2 linked regions of the Macaca mulatta genome follow. The protein of the gene in region 1 interacts with the protein of each later gene in a pairwise test. Links are inferred from orthologs where the notes say so. Each region holds a gene or a part of one and is shown in the gene's direction. Other genes may lie near its edges.

Region 1 (5,231 bases):
ACTTGGTTTATTTTCATCCAGGATACATGTTTGTTCCCCTTAGAGAGAAATCACATTATGACAGCAATTAAAAAACATCTTTTCCCTATGGAAATCTTCCTGTTTCAAAATCTCCAAACCCCCAAGATAAACCCAGTATGTAAATCCAGGTATCACTACTGTTTTTCTCATAATGCCCTTAAAGCAAATATTTTCCTCGCTTTCTATAATCGGAAAGAGGATTCTGAGAGTATCTTGGCTCCATACCACTTTATTTTTTTGTCTTTTCTTTTTTTCCCCTCTTTGTGGAGAACAGGGTCTCACTATGTTGCCCAGACAGGTCTTGAACTTCTGAGCTCAAGCAATCCTCTTTCCTCTATCTCCCTAAGTGCTGAGATTCCAAGCGTGAGCCACCGTATTACTTTAAACTCCCTAAAGGGAGGGTCCTTATCTGCAACGCCCACAGCCGCCCCCCCCCATCCCCAGCAGCACTTAAATCAGTATAAAGAATGTCTGCTGGGGGGTGGGGAGAAACAGTTAAGCAAATACTGTAGTTAGAAACTTACTGGTGCAGGACAGGAGCAGCAGGCTGGGACGGAGAATTCCTGGGAGTAAGAAGTGGGGCAGAACCCACTGATACATGGAGTTCCACATTTATACATTTGTAGCAGTCAAATCTAAGAGTTTAACACAGTGGTTCCAGACGGTAATTCCATCAGTTTGGGAGGCCAAAAGCCGGAGGATCACTTGAGGCCAAGAGTTCGAGATCAGCCTGGGCAACAAAGTGAGACCCTCATTTTTCTAAAAAAAAAAAAAACCAGAAGCTTTAACGATCGAGTATTGGAAAAGCTTTCTAAGGCCCGGGAAAAATGGAAGTTTCCTTAATAATGTTAGCTTCCATGTACTGTAAACCTAAACGAAGCAAGAATGAATACTGGGTGCTGTACATAGTTCTATCAACCTACAATCTCGAAAACGCTAGGAGACACATTCAGCTGCTCCCATTTAACGGATGAGGAAACAAGTACGCAATCCTGAAGTTGGTGCAAAGCCCAGGCCCCCTTTCTTCTTCAAGCGTGCTTCCAGCCTCTGAAATTCCTCCGTGTGGACCCCGAGCTCTGCCTGCAATGAGGAATATTCACTTTGCCAACAAATATTTATTGAGTGCCTACTATACACCCGGTAGCTCGTTTAAATAGCCGTGGGATTAAAAAGATAAATAGGGTAAGTTTGTGGTTTTTTCTTCCAGGAAGGAGCTTTCTGAAGGGTGAGGGAGAGGCCAAGTAAACAATCCCAGAACAGTCGGGTGAGAGTTGGGAGAGGAGTCGGGGGCCGCGGGACGCCCAGGCAGCGAAGCGGGGAAGGCTCCGGGCGCGTCGCAGGACCCGCGCTGGAGATGGGTTTGAAGCCCTGTCCTGAAAAAGCCGGCCCGGAGGGGGCTGTCCCCAGTATCCCTCGAGTTCTCATCCTGTCATTCAAGCAGCAGGGGAAGAACCGGGTCTGGCTCGGGAAGGGTGGGCTTAGGGCCAGGGGTGCAAATCCCTTGGTAAAAGCCGGCAAACAAAAGTCGCACACATCCCAGCTCCCGGTCCTGGCCCCGGCGGGGCAGGGTCCCCGAAGTCCCGGGGCGCGCAGACGCCGGGGCCCCCGGGGGCCGAGGGAACTGCAGTACCCGACCTCCCCTGCCCTCGGCCTCCAGGGCCCTCGCCCTCCGACCAGCCGCCGAGTCTGGGGCTGGGGTCGCCGCTTCCGCCCGCCGCCCGCGGCCCCTCCCCGGCGCGCGCCATCCGGCCGCCGGCCCCTCCTCCCGCGGGGGGCTCCGTCCCGCGCCCCGTCCCTCCGGGCTGCAGCCGGCAGCCCACGTCCAGGGAGGGCGGAGGGAGGAGGAGAGGCGCGGAGAGGAGGGAGGGGAGAGGGGAGGGAGGAAGACGAGAGAAAGGGAGCTGCTTCCATCCCGGACTTCCCAGAGCCTGCCTGGAGCGCGCACTCAGCGGCTCTCGGGTCCCAGCGTCCCAGCCGCCGCCCGCGCCTCTCCGCCCCGCTCCTCCTCCTCTTCCTCCTCCTCCTCTTCCTCCTCCTCCTCTTCCTCCTCCTCCTCTCTAGGCACCCCCGTCCCCTCCTTCCAGCGGCTGCAGCCCCCAGCCCCAACTCTCTGCGCTTACTCCTGGGACGCGCGTTCTCGCCCCATCCTTTGCTTCCTTCCTTCCTTCTTCCTTCCTCCCCTGGCTCCCGCCCTCCCTATCCAGGTCGCCCTCCCGGGGCCCGATTGTCTCGGTGCCCAGCTCTCGGCCCGCGCCCTGCCCCGTCTCTCCCTCGTACTTCCTGAGTCGCCCGCCGCTGCCGTCGCAGTCTCGCCGCGGGAGCCCCAGCCCGACAGCCACTGCCCCGGCTCCAGCTCCAGCCCCGCAGCCCGCGGCGCCCGCCCGAGGGAGCCCCGGCGCCCGGGGAAGGCTACAGTGGGCGAGCGCGCCCTCGCCCAGCCCCGCGCCCCAGCCCTGCCCGGCCCGGCGAGGAAGGACCGGGAAGATGAACAACGGCGGCAAAGCCGAGAAGGAGAACACCCCGAGCGAGGCCAACCTTCAGGAGGAGGAGGTACTGGGCGGCTCGGTGCAGTGGCGGGGGCGATCCGGGACCCAGTGCGGGCGGCCGGCGGGGCGCGGGCGCGGGCCCGGGGCGCGGCGGTGGAAGGTTTAGGCATGGCCCGTGCCCGGGACGCAGCCCCGCAGTGTGGCCCGGGGAGGGTGGATCTCGGGAAAGTGTGTTTTTGTGTCCACGCGCGTCTGCGGGCCCCAAATTGCGTAACTCTAAGGACTTTTCGGAGACTTTTGTAAGTATAATGCTCAGCTTTGTTTGCCCGGGATTTAAAAAGTGGAACCGAGAGCTGACTCCTGGGTGACCTCAGATGATCGGGACTCGGAGGGTCAGGACTTAGGGCTGGGGCTGGAAATTGTGTGTGGATTCGGGGTAGCGGGGGGGGGCAGTTTAAGGAAGAAACTTGGGGAAAAGTTTTCATTAAAAGATACCTCTGTTCCCTGCCCCCTCCCTTTCCGTGTTAAAAGTTCTTGGTGAAATATCTTTCTAGCCGAGGGTTTTTGGATTAATAGATAACTCATCAGCCACATTCTTCTCTGCTGAGTCAAAGACCCCGAACCTGGGCGGTGAACGCTTGCGAATTTAGGGCCGTGCAGATGAGGGGAGCAGAATAAGAGGGTTAAAAACGCAGCAATTCACCAAATGCTCATCGAGGATACTTTTATAGGACTTTGACTTCTGAGCACGCATTTTGGGTGGTGCGTCTTCACGATGAAAGTTTTGTGACTGCGGAGCGTTCCTTCGGTGGAAACAAAATTGAGTAGATGTAGTCAGAAGGGGAGTCGGACTCAGGAACAAACGTTTCAGAATTCAGTAGTAGGGTATTTGTGGTATCCTACCAAATGACTGTTTCTGCAGGTACATTATCTGGAGTCCAAGAAATTACTTCTGGCGTACTTTTTAATATCACACACAGTTGAGTTCTTAACATTCTAGAGGAACTTGAGAGTGTGTGCAGATGCAGGAAAGTGCATGGCTCAATATGACCCGAAAAGATTCACACAGGTATTGCATCCTGATCTAGGTGAACACAGAAGGTAAACGGATTCTAAAGCGTTAGGACGTTGAGATCATTGTTGAGACACTGTTGTGTGCAAACTTCAATTCTGATAGTGAAACCAAAATTGCAGAGGAATTCATTAATGCATACAAGTTCTCTGCACATTGTCCACTTGGGAAATGGGAACTATTTAGGTGGAGAAGGTAGAGGAGCGAGACTATGCCAAACAGTGCAAAATCGGAGATTTTACTCTCTTACCCAGTTGTATGGTAGTGAAAACCTAGATGAGTTGCAGTCAGTCAAAAATTGCTTTCTCACCCGAGGACATTTTCTATTTTATTATAAAAGACTATTTGAAGAGTTGTTTACATGCATGTTTTCTAATTACAAGTGTAGGAATGCTACTGGCGTTTCTTTTTTCAAAGCAATGGAGAGTTGAATGGTATGTTCTGACTTTTTTTCTTGAACTTTACTGGCTGCTTTGCTATTTATTTTCCCTACCACTTAAAAAATTTTAAAAATAATGCTTTTTTAAATTTGCTTTTTTAGGAATTACTATAGTTAACTAATTCACTTACCATATCAAAATAATTATCGCTTCAGAAATCTTCCTATTTCAGCTAAATGTGCAATCTGTTTGCTTCTCAGGGTTAGAATATTATATCAAACCATCTTTATTTACCCAGTTGAGAAAACTTTTTTTTTTTCCTTTTGGTGGGTAGCAAAAGAGGTTCAATGTCCTAAAAATCATACCCACTTAAAATTAAGTATAGAAAAGGCACATTTTTCCGCTTGACCCATCTTAACAGCTGCCAGGACCGAGGGATTGCCTGCCCTGTTCCTGGACGCTCCTCTGTCCTTGCGAGGTTGTGTGTAATAATTGCTGTATAATCGCGGACCATTGCAGTATGGTTGCTGCCTCTTACTTGTCCTGTTACCTGACAGTGTTCTTTTTCAGGTAGGAATGGCATGTGGCTCTAGAAAGTATGGATATTTTTAGCAAAACACTTGTTATGTAAAAAATAAGGGGACTGGTAGGAAGATTTCAGAACCTAAGTTGTCCAAGAGATGTCGTGTACAAAACAGATAAGACTGTGAAGAGAGGGGGTTTATAATGTCAGAAATTCAGGAAAAGAAACTAAGGTGGCCTGAATGATCCGGGTAATTTTGCCTTAATTTCCTATTTTTGGTTTATATTTTGTTCTTGAAAAACTCTTACCCTCTTTTTTGGTTTTTTTCTTTCTAACCCTGAAAGCCACAATTAAAATAAATAGGGTATTTGGTAAGTGCCATTAATGAGCCCGGCATTACACAAAACCACTACATTGACCCTTTCTCTGCCCACCCATCGCATCAGCAACTTGCTCTTAAACACATTTAAAAACCTTGGCAGTGGACTCCGGTAAACAGAACACACACATACAACATATATATATATATATACACACACACACATAATGACAAGAGAGGAAAAATGTGTTTTGTTGTAATTTCTGGTGGCCATTGAACTGACATGGAAAAATGAGTCCAATCGTCATTAAGGGAAAATAGTTTATTTCACAGATCATGAGGGTGATTTCGGCTTTCTCCACATTGAATCCAGGTTTGTTTTTTTCTGTGTTTCTAGTTTTGAAATGAATTCCTTTTATCAACTAGTGTA
Region 2 (5,322 bases), on another chromosome or scaffold:
TTCTTTCTTTCTTTTTTTTTTTTTTTTTTTTTTTGAGATGGAGCTTTGCTCTTTCTGCCCAGGCTGGAGTGCAATGGCACGATCTCGGCTCACTGCAACCTCTGCCTCCCGGATTCAAGCGATTCTCCTGTCTCAGCCTCCCGAGTAGCTGGGATTACAGGCACCTGTCACCATGCCTGGCTAATTCTTTTCTTTTCTTTCTTTTTTTTTTTTTTTTTTTTTTTTTTTTTTGGTATTTTTAGTAGAGACAGGGTTTCACCATGTTGGCCAGGCTGATCTCCAACTCCTGACCTCAGGTGATCCACCTGCCTCGACCTCCCAAAGTGCTGGGATTACAGGCGTAAGCCACCATGCATGGCCAAGAGTTAATTCTAATTATGTAAAAATTCTTTGCTTTACAAAATAACATTTTTTAAAAAACTTTTATTTTTTGCTGAAGAGTCTCTTGAAATAGCCAGATCTCTTTTTGGAGAATCTAAATTGGATTTGCTTTACAAAATGTTTATTAGACTCAACTTTTCAGGAGCAAAGCGAGTGTGAAAAAATGGGGCATTGCCTGTCAGGCATCAATGGTAAAATGTCACTTAATCACAGAGTAAAAAAAAAAAAAAAAAAAAAAAAAAAAAAAAAGGCTCACCATTCTATCCCCTGAGCCCACCAAAGTCAAATTGTCCAAATGTGGCACGTGGCTATTGCAGGCATCTGGTACTCTCATTCCAGGCAGGAAGGTGATGCTACCATTGGGGTGGGGGCGGGGGGCAGACATCAGTGACTGACTATGTGAGCCTAAACAGAGAGTCAGAAGAAGGGACCCCCAGATTACAGACAGCCTTTTCCTCCACATGTCAGACCCTCTTTCTTTACACATACAGCAAATACAAGCAGATAACTGGGCATCAGTCATTTCTGAGGCATAGCATGAAAGAGCAACAACATACACTGCATCATTTAATTTATCAAGTAAGCTATAAGGCACTGTGCCAGACTCAAAGATAGAAAACAAGGAGGAAAGAAGAAAATACACATTTAGTAATACACCTGAGTGCCTTCAAACCATGCAATGTCTTTAGGTACTGTTCCCAGCTAGCTTCTCCAACAGAAAAATGAGCATACTCCATTTCAAAGCTGGATTCTGTAACTAAATGCACTATTCATATTTTTCCAAGCCTCCTAAACCAATAGTTAACTAGTCTCTTCCAAGATTTAGGGAGTCTGTTGAGTTCTTTTCTGGAAGTTCTATCCATTTTGCTAAAAGGTTGTGCTCCAAACACTTTACCAAGAATTAGGGCCAATGAAGGGGTACTTTGTGCAAGCTACAAATACTTGCAATTTTCATAAAGCAGTTCATTTCTGCCTTCCTGTGAATAATTTCATATTTCTTCCTTGTAAGACTATGCTTTGTGTGTTCATGAGTGTCTAGAGTGACAGAATAGAAGGAGTGTTTAATACATCGAGTGAGTCTGGGGCCTAGAGATGAGGATGTGAGGGCTGCAAGAAGGATCATGAATCAGATGGAGTGAAAGATAACTTGGAAACTCCAGGGGAGAAAAATGGTTAATTTCAATTGTTTAATTTGTTCAGGTTTGTGTTTTGGGTTCTGTCACACCTGTGTTGAGAAATGTCCCTGTCATCTAATGCACGCAGTTTATGTTCAGAACCAGGGGCAGCACAGAGAGGAATTGGGGGTGGGGGAAATTTTCATTAGCCTCCAGGGAGAAAGTCTGATCTGTGCACTGATGGGAAATGGTTATCCAGGGTGTAAAAGTGTGATTCTGGGACCAAAGGGTCAGCTCTAGAACGAAATCAGACAGCTGGAGAACTGAAGATTCAACTCTTCCTAGGCAAGAGAGTGAGAAAGGTGGGTTGCTTGCAGGGTGGGGATGGGGGTTGCTCCTCCTAGTTCCTGGGCTGGAGAAGGGCAGCGAACTGGGAAGTGTCTGTCAGAGGCTCGCTATGCTAGGACAAGGTGCTGGGGTGCTAGGGTGGGTGGGGGCCTGAGGGGTGGCTTGGAGCCCTGGCAGTGGCTGCCTGACGTCACCGGCCTCTCTGGCAATAGGCTGCGAGCTCAGCTCGCTGAAGCGGCGGCGAAGGCGGCGGCAGCGGCAGCAGCAGCGCGGCTCGGTCTCTGGCCCATTCAATCCGCGCCTTCTGCAGCCGCCACTGCAGCCGCGCGGCGGGGGCTCCCTCCTTGCAGCCAGCTGGCGGTCCAGGTAAGAGACAAGGTGTGACTAAAGGCTTCTGATGGCCGGGTGGCCTGACGGCCGGGCGCGAGTGGGGAGGACAGCTCACGCGGCCTGTGCAGCCACCCCGGTCATAGCTCCAGCCCCCGGCCCCGGCCTCTGCCCCTGCCCCGGCTTGCTTGTGCGCTGCCTCGCTGCTCCGCAGTGCAACAGTTTGCAGCTGCCTCTTGGGAACAGCAAGGAGGCTCTCCTGTGCGCTGCGGGTCTACCGGCTCCGGTACGCCGGAAAAGCCTCGGGGCCTTCGGGCTGGGTCTAGGAAGGACTGAAAGAAGGTCTGTTCCCCAAACTTTGCAGGCGGGAACCCTCCTCTTTCCATTCCAGTTCCTCTAGAAAGAATCAGGCTACTGCCAAGTTGGGGGCATAGAGAGATGGGGAGGAGGGGGCCGTTCGTGGGAATGTGTCGGCTGAGAAAGATGCTTCAGCTGCTTTTTTTGTTTGTTTGGAGAGGGGAGAATGCCAGGGAAGAAGGCTGGAGAAGAGATGGAGCGCGTTCCTGCTCGTCAGCCGCGGTCGCGGACAGAGGCAGAGTGGGATGTGGTTCCAGGGGTATCCCCCTGGGAATGGGACCCAAGGGATCTGATGCCGTCCAGGGAGGGCAAGTCTGGAGGGGGAGGGAAAGGAAGGACTGCGTACCCGGAGCCCCCGCGGTGGCCCGGAGTGGGTGCTGGGAGGGGAGGGATCCAGGCGAAGACATCCACCGAGAGGGCGCAGAAAAGAGGAGAGCCGGAGCTCTGGGAAGTAGGGACTTCAATCCGAAGCGGCTGCTTGTCTGTTGCAATTATAAAGTTGTGAAGGGCGGAAGGGAGGTTGCCTTATCTGCTGAGTAATCTGCACCTCCGCGGTGCCGGCGTAGACCCCATCCTGTCGAGTGGGGTGAGCAGGCTGCTGGTGGCTCTGGTGCACGGCCACGGGTGGGCAGGCTGGGGTCCGCTGACCGAAAATACGGGCAGCGCCCAGCTCAGGCAGCGTGCCGAGAGGGCCGCTTTGCGGTGGTGGTTGATTCTTCCCGACCGCACTCCCCTGGGCAGCGGTCGAGATTCTAACTAAGCTTTGTGTCTTTGCAGCCTGGTGCCTCCGCGAAGGAAAGGTGCGCGTGTGAAGACGCGTTCCAGGTGGGATCGGCGAGGATCTCTCGGGCGCCGCTCACTCCTTGGTCGCCTTGCTTGCCAGCAGTTGCTCCCTTAGTCCTTGGCTTGCTCGCACACCCCCTCCCTCTACAGGGAGCAGTTTTGGGTGGCGTGGGCTCCGTCCTCTTCTTGGCTGGTGGGAACAGTGTGCCCAAGAGGGGAAGCCTAGTGGGCCCGGCCCCTCCCAGCCCCGCGCCAATGAGTGCCAGGGCGCCGAAGGAGCTGAGGCTGGCGTTGCCGCCGTGTCTCCTCAACCGGACCTTTGCTTCCCCCAACGCCAGCGGCAGTGGCAACACGGGTGCCCGCGGCCCAGGCGCAGGTGGCAGCGGCACCTGCATCACGCAGGTGGGACAGCAGCTTTTCCAGTCCTTCTCCTCCACGCTGGTGCTGATTGTCCTGGTTACCCTCATCTTCTGCCTCATCGTGCTGTCCCTCTCCACTTTCCACATCCACAAGCGTAGGATGAAGAAGCGGAAGATGCAGAGGGCTCAGGAGGAATATGAGCGGGATCACTGCAGCGGCAGCCGCGGTGGCGGGGGTCTGCCCCGACCTGGCAGGCAGGCCCCAACCCACACAAAGGAAACCCGGCTGGAGAGGCAGCCCCGGGACTCTCCCTTCTGTGCCCCTTCCAACGCCTCGTCGTCCTCCTCTTCGTCCCCTGGCCTCCCGTGCCAGGGTCCCTGTGCTCCTCCGCCTCCACCGCCAGCCTCCAGTCCCCAAGGAGCACACGCAGCTTCCTCCTGTTTGGACACAGCTGGCGAGGGCCTTTTGCAAACGGTGGTACTGTCCTGATCGTCTAGCCCCTCTCGTTCCCCGTCCTTGTTTCCATCATCTTTGCCATCCTTGCTTTTTTCCTCCTTCCTTCCTTTTCCATTTTCCTCTGGCCCCTCTTTTCCTCTTCCTGGTTTCCTTACCTGCCCTCCCCTTACTCTTGTTTCTCCTCCGCCGAGGCACTGTGCGGTATTTGTAAATATTGGGCGAGGAAAGTCTCGGAAGAAGAAATAACGCTGATAATAATACTTTATTAATATTTATAGTAATTATTATAATACTAATAACACAATCCAAGCGCATGACAAATCACATAATTTCTCATTGTCAATGAAGGATGCATCTTCCCACTCCAATCCGCGCTCCCCTCAATTAGGAGGAGAAACCGCACAAGCTACCAAATATATAAAAGGCATTGATTCCCGAAGCAAAGGGAGGGGAGGGGGCCCGGTAATGTACATAGCTGTCAAGTTAAGGTTTAGTTTCCTTCCTTCCCCTCTGACCCCTAAGCTTTCACTTTTTCTTTAGCTTCCCTCTCCTCCCCATTCCCACCCTCAGCCGGGCTCAGGCAATAGTATATTATAAAGAAAACGTCTACATTAAGCACCAGGACTGCAAGAGGGCATAGAGAATAGTCCCCAGAAAGTGTTTATGACAGGTACCCCTCGCCAGTCAGCCCATTTCTCACCCTTTGTTTAACTATTACCTATTACCTTTTCCAGGACAGAACCTTTAATTTACTTTTTAAAATGACCCTCGCTGGCCGAGCATAAGTACGTTAAAATCTTTAAATGAGTTTTTTAAAAAAGCTAACGCTTTCACTCCCTGCCCCGCCCCCACCCATACACCTTTGACCTGTGACATTTTCAGAATTTACAGAGGATCTGGGAGCTGTCCAGCCAGGTCTGGTGCTGAAGTCGCCTCACCGTTCTGATTACTTCCTCTAGTTGTGAAGGCGGAGGAGGGGCTGTTTTGGAAAATGACTATTCTGGCTTTTGGTTGGGTTCTTTCTTCTTTTTCTACAATCGAGTTAGCGTGTACTATTGGTTTTCTTATTATTAAACATTGCATAAGTTACCTTTTTTGTAAAAAAAAAAAAAAGTATTAGGTGATGTGCAGTACTGAAAGTGCAGTATCTAACCAACTAGAATGTTTCTGTTTTATTTTTAGAACAAGTGCACCT

Evidence for each region. The genes of interacting proteins can lie anywhere in the genome.
Region 2: the proteins of RBPMS (region 1) and C14H11orf87 interact in binary tests that used the Homo sapiens proteins (3 or more experiments, as listed by UniProt). The two-hybrid records come from large-scale screens. The link is inferred for Macaca mulatta from reciprocal best matches to the Homo sapiens genes RBPMS and C11orf87.

The regions. Positions count from the first base shown.
Region 1 is NC_133413.1:32,158,571-32,163,801, forward strand, and holds the start of RBPMS (RNA-binding protein with multiple splicing), read left to right. Parts: upstream 1-1,944; 5' UTR 1,945-2,505; coding exon 2,506-2,571; intron 2,572-5,231.
Region 2 is NC_133419.1:110,243,465-110,248,786, forward strand, and holds the start of C14H11orf87 (uncharacterized protein C11orf87 homolog), read left to right. Parts: upstream 1-2,081; 5' UTR 2,082-2,210; intron 2,211-3,305; 5' UTR 3,306-3,566; coding exon 3,567-4,160; 3' UTR 4,161-5,322.